Rattus norvegicus: one gene and its partner. The protein of the gene in region 1 interacts with the protein of each later gene in a pairwise test. Links are inferred from orthologs where the notes say so. Each region holds a gene or a part of one and is shown in the gene's direction. Other genes may lie near its edges.

What was found.
Region 2: the proteins of Ehmt2 (region 1) and Klf3 interact in binary tests that used the Homo sapiens proteins (3 or more experiments, as listed by UniProt). The two-hybrid records come from large-scale screens. The link is inferred for Rattus norvegicus from reciprocal best matches to the Homo sapiens genes EHMT2 and KLF3.

The regions. Positions count from the first base shown.
Region 1 is NC_086038.1:3,927,184-3,930,804, reverse strand, and holds part of Ehmt2 (histone-lysine N-methyltransferase EHMT2), read left to right. Parts: intron 1-252; coding exon 253-357; intron 358-453; coding exon 454-608; intron 609-704; coding exon 705-872; intron 873-3,254; coding exon 3,255-3,399; intron 3,400-3,582; coding exon 3,583-3,621. UniProt on the Homo sapiens protein: Histone methyltransferase that specifically mono- and dimethylates 'Lys-9' of histone H3 (H3K9me1 and H3K9me2, respectively) in euchromatin.
Region 2 is NC_086032.1:43,848,079-43,851,825, reverse strand, and holds the start of Klf3 (Krueppel-like factor 3), read left to right. Parts: upstream 1-999; 5' UTR 1,000-1,190; exon of another isoform or gene 1,191-1,235; intron 1,236-3,747. UniProt on the Homo sapiens protein: Binds to the CACCC box of erythroid cell-expressed genes. May play a role in hematopoiesis.

The DNA.
Region 1 (3,621 bases):
CTTCCTCAGCTGCTCTGACCCTCTCCCACCGCTCACATTGCTTCCCTCGTTTCTTTGGTTCATGGAACTTGAGTCCCTCCTCTTAACCTCTGAGCTCATCCAGCGAGGACCCCGCTGAGCCTGGGTGGGGAGGGTGTGCATCTGTGGAATGCCCCATGCTCTGGCTTTGGCTGTTCCCAGAGGTGCCCCTCAGCTTCCGTTTTCTGGCCAGCAAGTCTGGGCCCTGATTCCATTCCTCCTTCCGTCCCTCAGGACAGTGGGGGCTGGACACCCATCATCTGGGCAGCCGAGCACAAGCACATCGACGTGATCCGTATGCTGCTGACCCGGGGCGCCGACGTCACCCTTACCGACAACGTGAGGGGCACTCAAGGGAGCTGGGGGGACTGGTGGGGAGCAGGGGGACCCCGATCCTGTCACCTGCAACCCGATCTCTGCCCCTCACCTCCACAGGAGGAAAACATCTGCCTGCACTGGGCTTCCTTCACGGGTAGTGCCGCTATTGCCGAGGTCCTCCTGAATGCCCAGTGCGACCTCCATGCTGTCAACTACCACGGGGACACGCCCCTGCACATAGCCGCCAGGGAGAGCTACCATGACTGCGTTCTGTAAGCCCCAGCTTCCGGACCCACCTCCCCACACCCCACTCCCGGCACCCACACCCCACTGTCCAGTCTCTGACTCAGGTTTTCTATCCCTCTCAGGTTGTTCCTGTCCCGTGGAGCCAACCCTGAGCTTCGGAACAAAGAAGGGGACACGGCGTGGGATCTGACCCCAGAGCGCTCCGATGTGTGGTTTGCACTGCAGCTCAATCGCAAGCTTAGGCTCGGGGTAGGGAACCGGGCTGTCCGCACCGAGAAGATCATCTGCCGGTGAGTGCAGCCCAGATGCCACAGCTCCTCCACGTCTTCAGTCTCAGGCCCCTTGCCAGACGCAGGACGTCCCAGTAGCTCCTACAATCATCTTGCCTCTAAGGGAGGTGGAAATAAGGGGCCCTCAGTGGGCAAGGGAACCTGCAACCAAGCCTGACAAACTGAGTGCAGTCCCTGGAGAGCCATGTTTTTCTCTGGCTTACGAACACACAGCATGGCACAGTCGCACACCTGAAAAAAGCTAAAGGCAGGGTGTGGTGGCCACCCCTGTAATCTCAGCACGCAGGAGGCAGACGGTTGGTTGTTTTGAACCTGAGGCCAGCTTGGTTTGTATGTATTAGTGAGTTCCAGGCCAAGGAGGGCCACATGGTGAGACCTTATCTTTCTTAAAATAAATGAAAAATAAATAAATATGTAAGAAAAATAAAGAAAAGGACATGTTTTCCAAGCCTTAGAGGTAGCTGAGGCAGGAGGATTGTGAGTTTGAGGCAGATACCCAAATAAGAGTTTCAGACAGGCTGGAGAGATGGCTCAGAGGCTAAGAACACTGACTGCTCTTCCAGAGGTCCTGAGTTCAATTCCCAGCAACCACATGGTGACTCACAGCCATCTGAAAGGGGATCTTCCGCCCTCTTCTGGCCTGCAGGTGTACATGCAGATAGAGCGCTCATAAACATAAGATAAATAAAGCTTTTTAAAAAAAAAAAAAAAAAGAATTTCAGACAGGAGCTGGGTGTCACCTGTGACCCCCTCCTATTCTGAAGGCTGGAGGAAGACCTGCCTCTTGAGCCCACGGGTTGGAGATCAGTATTTGTTATTATTGAGACTCAGACCTTAAAAAGGAAAATCAAACCAAACCAAAAAACCCCGCAAGGCTAGTGTGAGGCAACCCAACTACTGAATGTGCATTCTGAGTTCAAGCCAAGAACCCACCAGGAGAGAGCTGCCTCCTGAAGGTTGCCCTCTGACCTTAATTCCACACTGTATCCTGTGTGAGCGCGAAAGGTCCTCAAGCCAGGCGTGGTGGTTTAGACCTTTAATCCACTACTCTGGAGGGAGGCGAAGGCAGATCTCTGGGCTCTAGGGCTACACAGTGAGATGCTGTCTCAAGAAGGGAGCGGTTGGAGGCCACCAGGAATGTTCACTGTCTTTGAGGAGAGGTTTTTTTTTTTTTTTTTTTTTTTAAGACAGGGTTTCTCTGTGTAGCCCCGGCTGTCCTGGAAGTCACTCTGTAGACCAGGCTGGCCTTGAACTCACAGAGATCCCTGTGCCTCTGCCTCCCTAGTGCTGGGATTAAAAGGAGTGCATCACTCTGCCAGAAAGGACTGTGACCTCTAATGTTAGCACTGGGGAGGAGTAGCAGATGGATCTGAGTTCTAGGATAGCCAGAGCTACAGAATGAGAGTGTCTCAAAGAAAGGAAGGAAGAGGCAACACGTTAAAAAGTTAAAAAAGGGGGTCGGGGATTTAGCTCAGTGGTAGAGCACTTGCCTAGCAAGGGCAAGGCCCTGGGTTCGGTCCTCAGCTCCGGGGGGGGGGGGGGGGGGTAAAAAAGGGATCTGGAGAGATGGCTCAGCGGTTAAGAGCACTGGCTGCTCTTCCAGAGGTCCTGAGTTCAATTCCCAGCACCCACAGGGTGGCTCACAGCCATCTGTAACTTCAGATCCATGACCCAGAGGATCCATGCCTCCTTCTGACCTCTGCGGGCAGCAGGCGTGCATGTGGGGTGCATACAGAAGTGCAGGCAAAGTATTCTTAACACGTAAAATGAGAAAATGTTTTTTCAGGTGAGCAGGAATACTAGTGCGTCCTGTGCTAGCTGGGTGCTTGCAGTCTGTGTCAGTGCTACACTAAGGAAGCGGGAAGGCCATGGTCTCACTTTTAAGGCCAGCCAAGCGAGGCATTATACCAAGGCTCAGCCTCCAACTAAAATTTAAAAGTCCAGAGTCCAGCAGGGTGATGACATATACCTCTAATCCTAGCCACTTGGGAGCTAGGGCAGGAGAGTCAAGAGTCCAAGTCATTCTTGGCTATCTCGCTATTTGGGGCCAGCAGGCTATATGATGCTGTATCTCACAGAGGAATATAAGGGGCCGGGGCCGGGGCCGGGGCTGGAGTAGAGTGTTTATTGGCCTCACATGCACAATGTTGTTGGGCCTCACCAAGAAACAAAGATAACCTGTGCGATGTTGAGGACATAATTATTTCTAAGCTGAGATTGTTTCCCTGGTGTCTTAACTTCCCTTTTTTTGTTTTCAAGAATGTCTCACCGCATGCACTGGGATTAAAGGTGCCACCACCCCAGCACCCTTATACGGAGGAATCCTTGAGCTTCCCCTCAGGAATGCTCCGGCCCCTACCTAACTTTACTGCCCTTCTGTAGGGATGTAGCCCGAGGCTATGAGAATGTGCCCATTCCCTGTGTCAATGGCGTGGATGGGGAGCCATGCCCAGAGGACTATAAGTACATCTCCGAGAACTGTGAAACGTCCACCATGAACATCGACCGAAACATCACTCACCTGCAGGTGAGACACAGGCCCCACCGGGCTCGAGGGAGCAGGGGCTGAAGGAGCCTGATGTGGGAGTCCCTCCACACTGGGGCACATGAAGACTCCCCCTCTCGCTGGGACCGTCACCAGCCAGCGTCCTGAAACGAACCCATGCTCCAGGGGAGAGCCCTCTCACTCACACCACTCCTTCCCGCCCAGCACTGCACGTGTGTTGACGACTGCTCCAGCTCCAACTGC
Region 2 (3,747 bases), on another chromosome or scaffold:
CGGAAAATAAGGCCAATGGGAGTTAAGGAGGGGCAACCTCCTAGAGCAGGGACTGGGGGTTGGGGAGGAGGGGGGTTGGAGAGGAGGAGGGTTGGTCTGGACTGGAGCCACGTTGCCCAGTAAAGGTTTGCAAGTGCTTTCTGGTTTGTGTTTACTCTTGAAGGGGAGGGCACCTTCCCCCTGCACAGTTTTGTATGGAAGGTGCAGTCCTTAGGTAAAGTTCAGTGGGACTCCAGGCACTGGGAACTACACTCTGACAGTTCTTTCTGGTTATTTTTAAGGTTCCAGCCATCCTTGGTTCAGGGTGGAATTTCCAGGAACTGGCTGCAGCCTGGAGCCAGTCAGGTCCCTCCCTGTCTTCCCACTCCCTGCAGGGTGGGGCCCCATGGGTGGAGGCCTAGCAGGGTGGAGTGAGGTGGGTCTCCAGTGATAGGGAGGGCACCTAGTGAGCCAGGCAGATGAGAGGCCCTGTGGCCTCACACAGCCTTTCTGGATTTGATTATATAACGCCTCAGCGAGGAGAGCCGTGAGGGCTTAGGCGAGGCTTTTTTTTTTTTTTTTTTTTTTTGAGCCGGGTACACAGCAGGATTAAGACATTGCGGGTATATTTCAATTTATCCTGGGTCGCTTGCCCTTAAAACTAAAACACAAAATTGTCAGCGAGCGTAAGGAGGAAAACAAATGTGTAACCCAAGCACTAACCAGGTGCCCTTGAACTTGAGAGCTGGCGTGAAGGATAGATACAGGTTTGGGTCTCCGCAGCCCTTAGACTAGCTTGGAGAGCTGGAGGGAGTGTGTTTGGTGGCTGCCTTTCCACCTGTCCTTATTTACATGTAAAATCAATTGCTTCACTCGGTCTTTCCGAAGTACAGGGTGTGGGCAGAATCTTATCTGAAGCTGTGTCCTGTTTGGACAAGTTGGACTCGCCCTGGCAACTCTCCATGGGGTGGAGCCGATGGGTGGAGGCAGAAAAGTAAAATTGGGTGGCTCGTTCAGAGCGGGGAGGGCGGATCACTGGCTCCTTGGGTCACTGCATCCCATCTGACACGAAATAGTGAACTTCTCCCTTTTACAAAACAACGTTAGTGCAGAAATAAGTGCACTAACGTTGAAATAACGAAGAAATAAGAGAGGCAAAGACTCGGAGACCCCCAGTGGGATTCTGTTCAGGTCGACAGTGGAAGAGCGAGGTGGGTGAGTCCTTGGATGGTGTGAAAACGGGACACCCTTCCAAGGTAGGTGCCAGCACCACAAAGCAAACCTGGCTTAGGGTGCCTGCCCCTCTGCCTTTCTGGCCATTGCATGGTACTTCCTGTAGTACTCGTCACTGGGAGCACTCAGAGTTTGCTGGGGAAATGTACAGAAAGGTTTCTTGAGAAAGGAAGTTCAGCTCCAGGGCCGGTGCTGGCCCTCCTGGCCAAGATACACAGTGAGCTCCGATCTTTGCCCTGTCAGTTCCTTTGGAGAGAGGGTGGGGACCAGTAACGTGCTTACTTCCTCTTTTGAGAATTGGAACTCTCCGGGAGTGAAAAAGGTACTCACTGATTGTTGCTTGTCTAGTATCTGTTCTCTGGACACCTGGCTGAGTTCCCCTTTGCAGGAAGCAGGTAATTGGGACAAGACTTAGGGTCAGGCTAGGAAGAGAAAAGAGCGGCAGGTCTTACTTTGTCCTCAACAAACTGAGAACGCTTGACTCTATTCAGCGCCCCCAACCCCCTTTCTTTGCCTCCCTTATGAAGCAGCTGTGCCGTGAGCCTCACAGACCGCAGGAGCGCTATCATTTCTAGAAGTCACCTAAATGATTCTCCAGGCTTCTAATATATAGTTCTACAGTAACATGCTGACAGAAATCTGACCCTCGGTTTGATAATCTGCAGTCAAAAGTAGAAGAGGGGAGGGCTCACAGAGGGACGTCACTGTTAAATGAAAATTCGGTTTTACAGACTCTTCCCCACAAAATGACCCAGTTGTTCCATTATGGGAAGTTACTTGGGGGAAAAGTGATTTCCCTATTTGTTGGTTTTTAAGCACTTCAGTAACTTTTGGAAACAAAAATAAGTTTTGCCCCCACACCATGCTGTTTCTCCCCCTGCCATTGCTTAATTCAGGTTGAGAGTGTTTAGCCAAACCAGAACTAAGATGTAAAGAAACAACCACATTTGAGGCTTTCTCATCTCTGCAGTGCCTACATAAAGTGGTTAATAGAATTCCTCAGCTTGGTTAAAACCCACAAGGTTTTAAAGACCCTGAGGCTGGTACACGCCAATCTTCTGCCAGCCTCTTAAGGCTCCATAGCCTGTTCTTGTGCGCCACCTACTGGTTCTCTTTAGAATCGCTGCCAGTGTGTAAGTGTCATGGTTTCAGAATCCCCTTTTAAAAATGAAGGTGTGGTAGTATGCATCTGTCACTCTAGCACTTGGGAGGCAGGTGGAGCTCTAGGTCAGCCGAGGCTGTATAGTGAGACTTTCAAAAGAAAAAAAACGAGCTCTCAGAGAAGGATAAAAGTGCAGAGCACTGCCCCTGGGTAACAGCGGCTGCCAACCAAGTTTAAAGATCTCGACTCTTACAGGTCTCAGCTTACGTTTTAGTTACGTGGAAGACACACTGCTAGTGCCATACTCATTATTTCCTGGTTTGAATATTAACTTTAATTCCAGTCTGAGGGATTGAATCCAGGGCCTTGTGGTGCTAGGTAAGCATTCTGCCAAGAGTTGTACCCCCTCTTCCCTGGTTCCTCACCAGAACCCATCAAGCCTAAAGCAGTGGCCAAGGCGATTGGTACAGAACGATTGCTGCTGTCATCTTGAACAGGCAGTCTGATGTGCATTGGTGCGCTCCCATTTTCTTGCTGTCCCTTTCTGTGTCTTTCCCATTTGTTGTTTAAACGTTTACCTACAGACTTAAAGAACTGAAACACCATCACACAGATATTCGAGGCCAGCCTCTGCTCCCAACTCTGTTGTGAGTCCAGAATGGCCTTGAACTTGTGGCATTCTCTTGCATCAGCTTTATCCCGAGGGCTGAGATCCAAGCATAGACCACCTCCCATCTCACTTGCTTCCCCCAGAAGCTTCTTATTAACAGTTGTGGGTTTCAGGCATCATTTATCCTGCTTTCTATATTGCTCTGGGGTTTGAAACCAATAAATGTAGTCGTGTATGTGTGTGTGTGTGTGTGTGTGTGTGTGTGTGTGTGTGTGTGAGTAGTACATACCACAAATCCCAAATCTGCATATCTGTTGAGATGGGTAAGTCAGAGGGAAAAGAATCCTGTAACTTGGGAAAGGAGTGTGGTCCGTATCCATCTTGTGTCAAGTGTTGCCTCCCTGGGGCTGGGCTAGGCTGTAGTCTGAGACCTCAAAGCCTCGGGTCTCTTTCCTATCACACCTGGAAATGTGAGAGCCAAGATAAGCATCTGGTGGGATAGATTCCGAGAGCAGACTCCAGTCAAAAGACTGAGATGTTGGTGGGAAGCTGCTTAAACTCTCTGACCTTATCAACGGGAGCAGAAGTGTCAGCTAGCTTTACGGTCTCTAAAGCTACCAGAAGATACCCCTTTCTTCTCTAAGGGTGGGGCACGGACAGGTCTTAGAGCCCTTACCTGTGTGTGTAGTTGCTCAATTAGGACCAGTTATTAGATGCCAAGACACAACGTGTTTTCTTTCTTCCTAATAAGATAAAGTTTTTGTTTTGTTTTGTTTTGGTGTCATTTTATCTTTTGCTGGGACACCTGAGAGGGTGATGGCAC